Notamacropus eugenii: one gene and its partner. The protein of the gene in region 1 interacts with the protein of each later gene in a pairwise test. Links are inferred from orthologs where the notes say so. Each region holds a gene or a part of one and is shown in the gene's direction. Other genes may lie near its edges.

Region 1 (7,339 bases):
GCCGAGGCACAGCCCAAAGTGGCTTTCTGGATAATCAGCCTTCCACGTCGGATGACCCGGACTGAAAGCCGGGCTGGGAGCCGCTGGGTCAGTGAGAAGCGTCATCGGCTTCAGGCAATCCGGGATGGACTTCGGGAGGGAGCCCACGAGGAAGCCCCCTTGCGCCTTCGCCCTGTGCCTCACAGGGCCCATTTTCTCTATTTCCTAAGGCCCCCTCGGCAGCTGTAGGCTCCAGGGTTGGCAAAGAGGCAGGCTGAGGGCAGATGAGAGGTGAGGATGCCTGCATCGGCCCCTCCATCCCCTCGAAAATAAATAAAAGTTCTATCTTCAGTGAAAACAGCATCAAGGCTGTCTGTCATCTCCGGCCAGTCTCGGTCATAGCAAGGCCCTGGGCTCTTTCATCTGTCTCTACTCTCCTGTTCCATCACTGCAACCTGAAGTAGAGAAAGTTCCTAGATAGAAATCAATAGACTTGAGTTCTCGTCTGACCTCCAGTGCTTTGGGCTAGTCACTTCTCAGATTGTCAGTTTCACCATAAGTAAAATTAGCATAAGGAGATTTGTTCAGCCTAGAGGCCGAAGGGCTACCCGAGCCTTTCTTACCTGTCGTCCAGGTCTTCGGAGATCAGCCGGATAAACGTGTTGAGAGAAGAGACTTTCCAGAGTCGAACAAGGGTTAGGCTTTATTCAGGGTCTTAGTTACATGTGCAGGGTGAATTCTTCCTCAGGAGAGAGGAATCCTCCTCCTCCCAAGAGGCAAGGATCGTACAGCAAGAGGATGGGAGCAGAAGAGGGGGGGACCCTCTTCCCTCCAAGGGCCCCTCAGCACGAAGAGCGCCTTCAGGCTTTCCTGTCCCTACTTAAGCTCTCCCGCCGCATAGTTTGCACGTGGATACCATGCATGCTCTCAGCCCCTAGCTAGTCAACAACAGGTGTGCTCAGACCACGGGCCAATCTCAAGGGTGGGATGCTCTCCCCAGCAAGTTTCCCACTGAGAAGAGGTGGAAATGCACGAGATAGCCCGTGTTTCATGCCTCAATTCCCAGCTGTTCCCTGGGGGGCCTCATAAGAACTCTGAGGTTTAGAAGTCCTCACCTTTACCTGCCCGACACTGTCCACGTGAAAACTGAGCTTACACCCCCAACAGAGATTAAAGTTTTCCTCTAGCCAGAAGATACCAGGTGTAGGTGTGGGTTCATCCTTTGTTGCCTAAGAAGACCATGCCATCAGAGAAATGATGACATGATTTACATTTGACTTTGTTTTCAGTGAGGGAGGGCTGTGCAGGTCACCAGCCTCAGTTCTCCTCCAGAGCCTGAATCCAGTGACCAGAGATACTCATCATGATGACTGGAGATATGACCCAGGATGAGGCAATTGGGGCTAAGTGACTTGCCCAAGGTCACACAGTGAGTGTCAAGTGTCTGAGGTGAGATTTGAACTCAGGTCCTCCTGACTCCTGCACTGGTGTTCTATCCACTGCACCACCTAAGTGCCCCTAAAAAAAAGTCTGAGACCAGATTTGAACTCAGGAAGATGTCTTCCAGACTCCAGGCCCAGCACTCTACCCATTGCACCACCTAATGCTCCTTAGACAGTTGATACTCACTAGCTGTGCGATCTTGGGCAAGTCACTTAACCCCAATTGCCTCATCCTGGGTCATCTCCAGTCATCCTGATGAATATCTGGTCACTGGATTCAGATGACTCTAGCGGAGAAGTGAGGCTGGTGACCTGCACAGCCCTCCCTCACTCAAAACAAAGTCAAGTGCAAGTCATGTCATCATTTCTCTGATGGCATGGTCTTCTTTCAACGAAGGATGAACGCACACACCAGGTGTAGGATCTGAGACACTCCCTCTCAGTCTCTCTAGAAAACAAACAAAAAATGACCTCAGGGTAGAGCAGGGTAGACTGGGTCACAGCACCCAGTCAAAACCACAGCTCCAGATTCTCCACAGACTGACTTGTTTACTTTTAGCAAAGTAAATGCATTAGTTCAGAATAAAATAACTTAAGAAAATACAGGAAGGATACAGTCTCCCATAGCTTACTGCACCAGTGGTGAAAGATAACACAGAAGTGAGACCAGGGCACATAAACGGGAACATAAAGAGAACCTATGTGAAAAGGTACATGCCCCAGAAACCCTTGGGGCCAGAGCCATTCTCAACCTATGGTTTTGCAGGGCTGCCTAAGTTCTCTCAGGAGATAATACTTGCTCTGCTAGGTATCTCCCCAGTTGTATGGTTGTATTTCAGCTCTTGCTGGGCAGCTGCTGGCTTTCCTATCTTCAGTGCAGTGATTAGTTAGCCTCTCCTTGACCGGGGCAGGCTGAGCTTTTTTATATATAGCCCAGAGCTAAACGCTGGAAATCACCATACCTAGCTAAGAACAGCCAAATAAAAAGCCAGTCAAAGTGGCCCTTTTCTAAGATCTTCTGTTGTTTAGAATGCTTGTGTCTGGTGTTAATGCCAAGTCTTAGATTCAGGATCAGAAAATTCCTTTCTAACCTAAAGGAACGAAAAAGGTAAGGTCATTTGCTTTCCATCCTCCTGACCTAATAATGCATCTCCTGGGTAGCACAAAACTTCATTTGCCCTACCTACCTGCCAAGGGTATTGGAGGAAGTGTTCTGTAAATCTTACAATGCATTAGAATGTGAGTTATTTCCAACCCCACTTCCTGCCCGTTATAATGGATCGTGCCTAGTGGTCCTTATCATTTGTGACCCTATAGAAATAAAATCTTCAGATCATCTCCAGTGCCCTTGGTTATCCGCTGTCATGTCCCTAGGACAGCCAGCCCTCTAAGAGAGCCTTGTGAAACATTTTGTCCCATTACAGAATAGTTGGTGTCCTACAAGAAGAGTCTTTTACAATTACCAGCATTAAAGGGTATGGCTTGGAACAGCTGTTTGAGGTGCCATAACTGGCTTGGCCACCAGAGGATGCTCAAAGTTAGTTTCCACAGCTCCCACCTGTGTGGGTGCACAAAGTACCTAGCAGTCTCACCTTCCCAGCCTCTTTTAGTGCTTTCTGAGTGGACCATGATGTAGAGATATTCCAATAATACATTTCTTGACGCATGCTCCATCCAACTGGAGTTCAGCTTGGTCCCAAGGAATTCACATTCAGCATATTGACAAAAAAAACCCCATTTATCTTGCAATGTAAAGCTGAAGAATAATACCTGAAGAGATAAAGTTCCTCCCCCACCCCCAACCCTGTTGTTGAACGTATCTGTTCACTTTCTCGGGGTAGGAGGATGATCCTCGGGGACCTAAACCTGGAAGGAGGAAGGGGAAATGTCCCCACAGTGCAGCCTGCCGGCTCCAGCTTCTCTGGCACAAGTGGTACCCAGCCGGCACCCCAGCCAGCACCCCAGCCGGCATCATGTCAGCACCCCAGCCAGCATCCCAGCCGGCACCCCAGCCGGCATCATGTCAGCACCCCAGCCGGCATCAGGTCAGCACCCCAGCCGGCACCCCAGCCAGCACCCCAGCCGGCACCCCAGCCGGCATCATGTCAGCACCCCAGCCGGCACCCCAGCCAGCATCCCAGCCGGCACCCCAGCCGGCATCAGGTCAGCACCCCAGCCGGCATCAGGTCAGCACCCCAGCCAGCATCCCAGCAGACCTTCTGGCTTCTTTAACCCTTTTTGAGGCTGATGCCCGCACCAGGAGGGTTCCCGGCGGGCTCCCCCGGGGCCATCCCCCCAGCCACCCCCAGCTTCTTCACCAGATCTCGTGTGGCCAATGAAACCAGAGGCTGAGGGGAGACGGAGGGTGGGGAATGCTTGTGGAACTGTTGAAACAAAGGCTGGGAAAACTCCCGTTATTCCCAAAGGGTCCCCGGAAATCAGACCCATTGGGTGAGTGGGAGTTAGGGGCTGCTTGTTAAAGGGGCAGGGTGCGAATTTGGGGAGGTGTCGCTTGTGGATGGCTCTGCAGGAAGCTGGGTAGGCCAGAAGGGGGAGCCCCCTTCCCCCTTTGATTCCCCCCTTCTCCACCCCCCACCCCGTACGCCCCAAGGTAAGGCGGGGGTGATTCTCTGTCTTGGGGGGGCCGTGCTAAGCTTAGCACTCAAGTGTCCTGAAGACTCCCTGGAAAGGTTTAGGCCCAGGCAAGATGGGGGTCCTGGCTGGGGGAGGGGGCAGGGGAAGAAGCGGGGATACTGACGGCCCCAAATGGCCCAACAGAAATTCTTTCCCCGCCCTCCTTCGGGCTGGACTGGGAGAGAGGCGAAGGAGGGCCTTTGCGCAGGCGCAAGCCTTGGCCACGACGCATGCGCATGGCTCGCCAACGGTTTGCCGAGCACTCCCTCCTGCGCCTGCGCCTTGCCTCGAGGAGGGGCGCCCGAGGCGCATGCGTACCCACGACTGCGGCTTCGACGGCAGGGGCTCGCTCATTCTGGCGGGAAAGGCTTCCGGCCCAGCTTCCTGCCAGTTGTCGAAGCCCAAGGCGGGCAGCAGGGTGAGGGGCGAGCTCCCCACCGTGACTGAGCCGGCCGAGGAGAGAGGGAGCCCCGAGCCTCTCAGAGAGGGCCCCCAAATCTGTGAGAAAGGGGACCCCGAGCCTGTCAGGGAGGGGCCCCCCAAACCCTGTGAGAAAGGGGACCCTGATACTGTCAGAGAGGGGCCCCCAAATCTATGAGAAAGGGGACCCCAAGTCTGTCAGAGAGGGGCCCCCAAATCTATGAGAAAGGGGACCCCAAGTCTGTCAGAGAGGGCCCCTCAAATTCTGTGAGAAAGGGGACCCTGATACTGTCAGAGAGGGGCCCCCAAATCTGTGAGAAAGGGCCCCTGAGCCTGTCAGAAAAGCCTCTAGTTCTATTATAAAGGGCCCCAAATAGTGCTGGTAAAATCCCCCAGCCTCTTAAGATACCCCCCCCAGATGTAGTCAGAGAGAGGCCCCAAATATCAGACCTTGAATGTTGCTGGAGACCTCAAGGATTCTTTTGGATGGCCCCCCACAACCCTACAGGAGTAGGGAGCCAGAGAGCCCCCCAGCCTCTTAGAAGGAGAGTGTCTCCCAAACCCTGGCAGGTGACCTCCCCTCCCAACCCCTTAAGAAAGAGGCCCCTGAGGTCCCCCCCAATCAATACGTGAAAGAACCCCAGGGCCTTTGAGCTCCCCCCACCCCCAGCGAGGCCTGGCCCAAGTGCTCTGGGGCACTTGGGGCACAAGGGAGAACAGGCTCTGGATAATGATCTGGTTCCACGGAGGCCAGCAGGCCATAATTAAGATGGAAGACTGAGGGGTACAGGCCGGGCTGGTTTCAAGCCTCAGTCCTGCTCTTTGTCCTTCCAGGGAAACAGTGGTGGCATCAGCCCCTTCCCCTCTTGAGGCTCAGGAGCCAGGTTCAATGGATACTGTGGAGAGCCAGGTGCCCAGACCCGCCAGCCTGACTTCAGAAAGTGGGTAACTCGTGTCCTCCCAGGGTGGGACTGGGGGGCGGGGGGGTGGGGGTCAGTGACGGGACCTCAGGATCCCAGAAGGGACTTGTCCCAACAGGTGGAGGGAGGCAGCTGACTCAGCTCGATGGGGTCTGAGGCGGGGTGCGAGGTGGGGATGGTGCAGGGAAGTCAGCTCTGGGATTCGAAGGAAGGAAACAGAAGGAGGAATGAAGCAGCTGACTGTGCTGCTCCCCAAAGAGGACGGTTCTAGAGGAGGCTCTTCTCCAGGTGGTGAGAAGGGCAGAGCACTAAGGCAGAAGTGTGGGTATGGGCGAGGGCCAGGATCCAGAAAGACCCCAGGGAGAAAGGGCCAGGTGAAGCAAAGGCTTAGAGGTGGGAGATGGACCCATGAGGTCAGGGTGGTACCGCTGGAGACTGGGGGTCCAAGCCAGGGGCTCCAAGAATCCTGGCCCTGTTTCTTTTGAACTGTGCTACCTTGGGCTCATACCTTATTTTGGCTGAATCCCAGTTTCCTTCTGAGCCAAACAAAACATTTTTACCCTTAGGTGAGCAAGTTACTTTCTCTGGCATGTAAATTAAGGAGTAACCTCTAATGAGTCTCAGGAGGAAGTGTTTAGGGGATGAACTTGGGAAGTGTGCCAAGGGCAGGGATTTTGTGGGGCCCAGATGCTGACCAGGATCTGTGTCCAGGTCCTATGGAGTCAAAGTGAACTAGTGGTTCCCAGCCTCTCGCCTCCCAGGTTCTCCCACACCACCCTGTGATGGGCAGCATTCTGGGGGATGGGCTCAGAGGTGAAAAGAGCAAAGTCTGTGGTCATATTGCTGGTGGGAGGCCACAGGCTCAAGGAGGAGGGGGTACCCAAAGCCAAAGGGGGGACTTCTAAAAGTGACCCAGGAAAGCAGCCTGTGTGCTGGACAGCTTCAGTAACCCATTCCAACCAGGGAAGACTTAAGGTTGTTTTCAGGGGTTGGAGCCTGGTTTGTAGAGAGAGAGGTGAGTACGCAATTTTATCACCTTCCCAGCTCACTTTGCAGAAGTCCAGTGGAAACAAAACCTCTGAGAGTTAGAAGGCCTGGGCTCTAAGTCCTATCTCTCTACTTGCTGGCTGTGACCTTGCCACTTAACCTCTCAGATTAACCTCACTTAACCACGCAAAGATCTGTTTTCCTTGTAAAATGGCATGTAGGCTAGCTCTAAATGCCTATGGCTGGTCCCCTTTCCAGTTCTAACACTAACACGCTGATCCCCTCAGACCAGGGAGTTTATCTAGGTGTAAGCAGCCCTGGGCCTGCAGAGGTGGTCCAGAGACTGCAGGCCTGAGCTGGGTGGGGCAGGAGGCTCCTGAGTCCACATTAGCCATGCTTCCCAAGCCCCCTGACCCCTGGAGTGGGGGGAGAGGAGCTCAGGGAGCATCTTTGCTGGGTCTCTGCCTGTCAAGTGTCTGAACCAAAGCCGACGTGGGTGCTGCTGGACCAGAGGGGAAGTGCTATCCTGGAAGTGATTGTCACAAACTGAGGGCAACCCTGAAATAGGGGCAACCCTGGGGAGGTTCCACCTCAGAATTTGTAGTAGCAGAGAAGAAAGCAAGGTATAGTGTGACACTTTAGATTTGGAAGAGCAGGTCAAAAATGTAGGTATAGGATAGGTAGCATGTCTTTGCATAAAATTCTGTAGTTGGTCCAGGAGGGCTGTCAGGCTCCTAAGAATGAAGTTCTGAAGATACAAAGGGAAACATTTCTGATAAAAAGGGAAAAAGAATGTCATGTAAATAGACGAAGGTCTTCTAAGAAAGCACCAACCAATTTAGATGTCATAAAGATAGCAGGGAATCACAGATGCCTATGGAATCATGTGATACATCAGGATTAAAGTTCAGAGTGAGCTGAGACTGGCAATCAATGCTAAAGACAGTGGAGATGGGA
Region 2 (7,422 bases), on another chromosome or scaffold:
CATTTGGGGGCTGGAGAAGAGAGGATTCTTGGGGGACATGATGGCTTAGTTAAAATATTTGAATAGATGTCATATGGAGAAGGGATTCTGTTTAGCCTGACAGGGTGGAACCTGGAGTGATCTGTATAAATCGCAATTTGTATAAATTCAGCTTCATATCAGGAACAATCTTCTTCATCTCCTTCTCCTTCTTCTCTTCCTTCTCCTCCTCCTTCAGATGAGGGCTGGAAGAGGGATATGAGAGCCCCCCACAAAGACCAGGGTACCAGGTCGTTTAGAGAAGAATTCACGGACTCAAGCTTTGTTGAGGTCAAGATAAAAATTTATTATGCTTTTCAGTGGGCAAGTGTTCTTAGGGAACCTGCAACCCTAAAGGGGTACAGGGAAAGTTTATATAGGGTATTCTATAGGTGTTTCGGGTTGAGATTAGGGAGTGGTTAAGGAGTGGTCAGTTCTTAAAGGAACATGCGCTTTTGGTGTCTATTGCACAGGTATTTTATCCAAAATTCATCAGCAAATAACTCAAGGAGGGGCTACCTGGAGGTGTGGTTTTAGGCCTGAAATATCACTAAGTCAACCAACATCAGGGCTGGCTCAGAAATACCAGGTTGTTCTCATCAATGTCTTGTTAGACAAGAAAAATGTAAGAGAGTATACGTATGTCTAAGTTTAGGGTACTAGGTCAGTGAGTAGTAAATGTCGTTATGACCCAGTACGCAGTCCGTTAAACCAGTACACAGCTGGTTCAAACTAATGAGTGCTATAGGTACAGCTGGCTACTAGAGCAGGAAAGGAGATAACGGTTGTTGCTAGGACAAGTTGTGTCCTTGGGCTGGGGAGAAACTGCCTGGGATAGTGTTTTGAGGTTAGGGAGAAATGTGATTTTTAAAGAGAAATGTGATTTTAAAATCGAGGCCAAAGCACATGCAACCAAGCACCCCATCACTTCCCCCTCCTTCCTCCTCTTCCTCCTTCCATTTTATTTTCCCCAATTACATGCAAAAAAAAAAATTACATTTGTTTTTCAGGAACAACTTCCTAACAATTAATGCTGTTCAAAAGCAGAATGTGCTACCTTGAAAGGTGATAGGTTCACCATTCTTGGAAGTCTTCAAGTCCAGGCTTGGCAATCCCTTGTCAGGTATGTTGTAATGAGGATTTCTTTCTTTATGGAACAGATTAACTGACTGGGGTGTAGGGTGTGTTTAGGGAGGACCACTACCTTTGGTATGATGGCTGCCAAGCCCTTTTCAGGGCTCTTTCCACCTTTGGTGTCCACCTGTACCACTCAACTCTCACGTGTGGCTCCAAGAAGCTATAGCATGCACAGTGGCCACACCCTGGTAAACCATTTCAGCAGACAGGCCAAACCAAGTTGAGGGTAACCAAGGAGTCTCAAACCCATTGGTAAGTTAGGGGGGTGTCTACCCTGGCTCAGTAAGAAGGCAGATGAAATTCAGTTTTATACTGATAGCAACAATTTAAAGCACTTTTATGATTCCCTGAAAGCTATTTATGGACCAAAAACCTATGGTGCAGCACAACTTCTCAGCGCTGATGGAGCCACATTGATTAGTGATAAGGACATGATCCTAGAGAGATGGACTGAATACATCCATAATGTTCTCAACAGACCATCATCAATCAATGCTGAGGCCATTGACCATTTACCTCCGGTTGAAGTCAATCCCTCCTTAGCTGAACTTCCAACTGAAGAAGAGGTTTTGAGGGCTATTAGGATCCTTTCATGTGGCAAAGCACCTGGTGCTGATACTATTCCAGTTGAGATTTACAAGGTAGAGGGACCATTGCTCATACAAAAGCTGACTGAAATTTTCCAGGTTATATGGCAAGAGGAGGTTATCCCCCAGGAGTTCAAGGATGCCTCCATTGTCCATCCCTATAAAGGTAAAGGGAATAGATTGTCCTATGACAATCACAGGGAGGTTTCTCTCTTAGTCATTGTTGGCAAAATTCTTGCTAGAGTCCTCCTTAATAGGCTGATCCTTCACCTGGAAAATGGTCATATACCTGAGAGCCAGTGTGGCTTCAGAAAGGGCCAAGGAACAGTTGATATGGTGTTTGCTGTCCAACAACGCCAGAAGAAATGCTGGGAGCAGCACAGAGATCTATATACAATGTTTGTAGATCTGACCAAGGCCTTTGACACCGTTGATCATGAGGTCTTATGGAAAATTATATCAAAATTTGGTTGCCTGGAGAAATTCATCAATACTGTATGTTAATTTCATGATGGCATGTTTACCCAGGTTCTGCATAGTGAAGAATGCTCACATGCCTTCCCAGTCACCAATGGAGTGAAATAGGGCTGTGTGCTTGCTCCCATGCTTTTTAGCATGATATTTTCAGCCATGTTGTCAAATGCTTTCAATAAGGATGAACACAGGCATTAAGGTCAACTATCATAATGATGATAAGTTCTTCAACTTGAAAAGGCTACAAGCCAAGACCAAAGTGGAGGGAGTGTTGGTGCATGATTTTCTGTTTGCAGATGATTGTACACTCAATGCAGCCTCTGAAGCTGAGATGTAACAAAGTATGGATCAATTCTCTGCTGCCTGTGCTAATTTTGACCTAATAATTAACATCAAGAAAACACAGGTGCTCCATCAGCCACCACCACACCATCCATACATGGAACCATCTGTTACAACAAATGCAGAAGTTTTTAATGTTGTGGATGAGTTCACTTACCTTGGTAGTGTACTCTCCAGGGATGTACACATTGACAATGAGGTTGATGCATGCATTGCCAGAGCTAGCTCAGGGTTTGGGAGGCTCTGAAGAAAAGTTCGGGAGAGAAGATGTATTAGACTGACTACCAAATTGAAGGTCTACAGAGCTGTTGGGTTGACTTTATTGTTGTATGCCTGTGAAACATGGACAGTCTACCAGTGCCATGCCAGGAAACTGAATCGCTTCCATTTGTACTGTCTTAGGAAGATTCTGAGAATCACTTGGCAGAATAAGGTACCAGATAGTGAAGTCCTTGCTCACGCTAAACTGCCAAGCATTCAAACTACGCTTCAGAGAGCACAACTCTAATGGGCTGGTCACATTGTCTGAATTCAAAATATATGCTTGCTAAAAAGACTATTTTATGGAGAACTCACATAGGGTAGGTGATCACATGGTGGCCAGAAGAAGCGATACAAGGACACTCTGAAGGTCTCTCTCAAGAACTTTGGATTTGACTGTGCAACATGGGAGACACTGGCACAGGACTGCTCAGAATGGCGTGCCCATATCAGATAGGGTGCTGTACTCTATGAGCAAAGAAGAATTGAGACAGCACAAAGTAAACATAGGATGCACAAAGTAAACACAGGATGCGCAAATTTTGGGTATCCACCCCAAATATTCACACGGACTACCCGTGCCCGACCTGTGGTAGAGCATTCTGAGCTCCTGTTGTTCTGATCAGCCAAGTCAGACCACACTGAAATTTTACTTTATCATGGTGATGTCATGTTGGTCCTCTTCAAGAACGAAGGACAACCAACCAACCGGATTAATTGACTCCTTTCCAACCCTCAGATTAATTTTGTGAGGAGCCATAGTCTCATCTCCCTCCCGTTGGGACTTGGGCTCCTAGGTGCCAAGCTCGTTCTCCACGGTCACTTCTCAGCTATTCTAAACCAGGATGCTGCACATGGCTCCCCCCTCGCTTCCAGCTCCTCTTTATATGTTATCTCCCATTAGAATGCACGCTACTTGCATTACCTCTCTTTGTGTCCCCAGGGCTTAGCACGGATGGCACGTGTTAAGTACTTAATAAATGATTTTTCATTGAGCCACTCCTCCGAACTTTAGTTTTCCAAACTGTAATAATAATAGGCGCATTGTATAGTGCTTTACATATTTTCGCTTAGATGACCTTTGAGCAACAACCCTGTAAGGTAGGGACTATTATCATCCCCATTTTACAGATGGGGAGACTGAGGCATTTAAGAACTGAGGTGACTTGCCCAGGGCCACACAGCTAAGTATGGAACTCAGGTCTTTCTGACCCCACTCTGCCTTCTCGGCCACGTGTAAAATCTGGACCGTGATGCTGACAAGACTTGGATGACTTCCTGTTATGGAGCGAGCTGTTATTATTCTTACTCAAAAGAGGCTGGGGGTGCGGAGGACGGGGAGGGCTTGGACGACCCTTGCCCTTCATACGTCCCACCACACACGTAATCAGCTTCGAAACGCAGCCTGAAAGCGTTCGCGTTTCCGTAGCAACCCGAGCTCCAGCCCGCTTCCGGGAGAGGTCGGGCGCTTCCTCCCCTCGGAGGACCGGAACTCTATGGTCTACGCGCTTCCTTCCATGGTCTTTGCAGGCTACAAGGGCCCGAAGGCGGCCCTTCCGGAAACATGGCGCCGCGCAGCGGTTGGGTTCCGCGTGTTTCTGGGGAGCGGCCCCTGACACTCCTGTGAGCGGCTCCCTTCAGCGGAGAGAAGCTGCCAGCGCACGGGAAGGGAGGAAGAGGTGCTCAGAGGCGCAGGTAAACGTGGAGGCTGGAGACTGCCCTTTGGGATCTGCAGCCCGAGGGCTGGGGATCAGATCGCCGAAGGGCTGGCGACGCCTGCGGAGGGAGGGGAGCCGTGCGGGCCGTGCCGGGGGGCGCGGGCCGTGCAGGGGGGCGCGGGCCGTGCGGTGCGGGCCGTGCCGGGGGGTGCGGGACGTGCAGGGGGGCGCGGGCCGTGCGGTGCGGGCCGTGCCGGGGGGTGCGGGACGTGCAGGGGGGCGCGGGCCGTGCGGGGCGGGCCGTGCAGGGGGGCGCGGGCCGTGCGGGGCGGGCCGTGCCGGGGGGGTGCGGGACGTGCAGGGGGGCGCGGGCCGTGCGGGGCGGGCCGTGCAGGGGGGCGCGGGCCGTGCGGGGCGGGCCGTGCCGGGGGGTGCGGGACGTGCAGGGGGGCGCGGGCCGTGCGGGGCGGGCCGTGCAGGGGGGCGCGGGCGTCAGTCAGCGGGCCTTCACGCCTGGCACGGTGCTGATCGCCGGGGTACCGAGACAGGCAGAAGCAGGCTCTGCCCCCAAGGAATCCATCAGTAACCGCTTATTAAGCGCTTGCTCCGTGCTAGGCTTGGTGCTAAGTGCGGGGGATAAAAGCAAAGCGGACGTCTCCGCTTCCTATTAAATGCTGATTACGTGCCGGGGGCACTGGACTAAACACTTCTACTTTCAATGAGTCAGACCTTATCCAGTGCCTACTTAGTGTGCTAAGGGTTGGGGATATATATTTTTTTAAAAAATCCCTAAGACAGTCTTTGTCCTCAAGGAGCTTACTGTCTAATGAGGCTGAGTATTTGTAAATATCTAGGTACTTAGAAGATCGATATTCAGGAGGTAGTCAGAAAGGGGAAGAAGGCCTTAGCTAAAGAGACCAAGAAAGGCCCCTTTCAGAAGGTAGGATTGGAGCTGTCTTGAAGGAAGCCAGAGACACTAAGAGGCAGAAGGGAGAGTGTGGAATACCCCAGGTAATGGGGACAGCTAGGGCAAAGATGCAGAGACTAGAGATGGAGTGTCCCCTTTGAAGTAGAGGCAGATCCTCTCCAGAGGAGAGAGATCTTTTCAAGGAGACCAAAGAGGATGCAGTCCCAGGGCTGTCACGTCTTTTCAGGTGTGACTAAGGTGGTGTTTGCTTGTTAAAGCAACTGATAGGTCCAAATGAAGGGGATTCCTTTGACACTGGTCCCTTTTGGAGGTTTTATGCTTAGTCCAACGATGCTCATGTGATTCAAAATATTTCTCCAACTGTCCCCAGTCCATAGGAAATTATTTTTAAAGAACTGGAACCACATCTCTTACTGTGTCTAGATCAGTTCAGAAACCAGGCCAGTGTTCTGCTCATAGTAGAACCAGATGGGGAGTGGTAGGTTTGCCTGCTTTTTTTTTTCTTTCAGAGGGATAATAGTAACCACTTTTGAACTGGTGAGACATTAAGGACAGAGACTAATCCTTTTCTCAACATGAGCGTCACCTCAGGGACCAAGAGTCGAGGGATGAAGTTTGCTGAGGAGCAGCTGCAGAAGCATGGATGGATTCAAGGTAATACCTACTGACTGACTGTACTCCATTTCTCCCTGGAAAAGCCCCAGACCCCCAGTCTTGCTTTCTAGTACTCAAGGGCTGTGGAAGAAATTCCTACTAGCACAACCACCTTAGTTCTTAGGCAGAATTTGGGAGAGGAAGAACTATTCTGAATGGGAAATGAAGGTAGGGTAAGAGACTGAGTAGATGAGAAAGGGACAGGGAAAAGACCCATCAGAAAGGAGACTTAATAAGCTAGCACACATACAGTGCTTTCGTCCTCACAACAGCCCTGTGAGATAGGTGCCTATAACAGTTACCCATTTTACAGTTAAGGAAACTGAGGCAGAGAGGTTAAGTGATTTGTCCAGGGTTCCATATTTGTGTAAGAAATAGGATTTGAACTCAGTTCTTTTTGAATCAAGTCCAGTGCTGTATGGACTATACTACCTAGTTGCCTCTGGTATTCCTTGTGGGCAAAGCCCTATCCTGGGCAGTAGAGGGCAATTTGGAGGAAAGAGAAAAGATACACTATTCATCTTATAGACTTTAGGTTTTTAGAGTTTAAAACTGCACTAAGACTTTTGGGATACCCTATATAATAGGAAAGAATCTCATTAAGCTAATAACAAAAGATCACATTTCTATAATACTTTCCTGTCGTCAAAATTCTCTGATCACAACTTTGGGGTAGAGTAGGTAACATGAAGTAGTATTATCACTCCCAGGTTGTAGGTAAGGCAAAAAGAGGCCCTTGAAGGCTAAGTGACTTGTCCATGGTGACACAGGATCAGACGTGACAAAGAGGTTACTCTTAAGTTTGGCATTTTTTCAGTTAGGCAACACAGTAGATAGAGCTATGGGCCTAGAGTCAGGAAGCCCTGAGTTCACATCCTGCTTCAGATACTTACTAGGTGTGTGAACCTGAGGCAAGTCACTTAATTCCTGTTTACCTCAGTTTCCTCCTCTGTAAAATGAAGCTCATAAGAGCATCTCCTTCCCAGGGTAGTTGAGAGGATCAAATGAGACCATAATTGTAAAGCACATAGTAAGCACTATTTAAACATTAGCGATGATGAGGATGGTGATGATGATGCCACTGCTGCCACCCATGCCATTCTTCCTACAGGGAGAGTCGGAGAGGCACAATCCTGGTCCCTCCTGTAGTTGTAAGCTCCCTAAGACACAGACAGATTAAGACACATGATCCATCTGAATGGGTTCTAGACATCAATGCAGGAAATTTGTCTACAATACAGGAAAACAGTGGCCTACAGAGTCAGGAGCATCTGAAGATTGTGGAGAGATTGTGGAACTGAACTGGGGAAGAGGGAAGGACAGGGTTGATTGGTGTCAGGGGTCAGGATTTTGCTGTGAAGGT

The links. The genes of interacting proteins can lie anywhere in the genome.
Region 2: the proteins of KASH5 (region 1) and GPATCH4 interact in binary tests that used the Homo sapiens proteins (3 or more experiments, as listed by UniProt). The two-hybrid records come from large-scale screens. The link is inferred for Notamacropus eugenii from reciprocal best matches to the Homo sapiens genes KASH5 and GPATCH4.

Annotation. Positions count from the first base shown.
Region 1 is NC_092876.1:12,584,762-12,592,100, forward strand, and holds the start of KASH5 (protein KASH5), read left to right. Parts: upstream 1-4,247; 5' UTR 4,248-4,285; coding exon 4,286-4,473; exon of another isoform or gene 4,474-4,555; intron 4,556-5,309; coding exon 5,310-5,416; intron 5,417-7,339. Other genes in the region: DKKL1 (dickkopf-like protein 1), read left to right, coding at 1-228. UniProt on the Homo sapiens protein: As a component of the LINC (LInker of Nucleoskeleton and Cytoskeleton) complex, involved in the connection between the nuclear lamina and the cytoskeleton.
Region 2 is NC_092873.1:380,745,487-380,752,908, reverse strand, and holds the start of GPATCH4 (G patch domain-containing protein 4), read left to right. Parts: upstream 1-4,324; 5' UTR 4,325-4,514; intron 4,515-5,914; 5' UTR 5,915-5,980; coding exon 5,981-6,059; intron 6,060-7,422.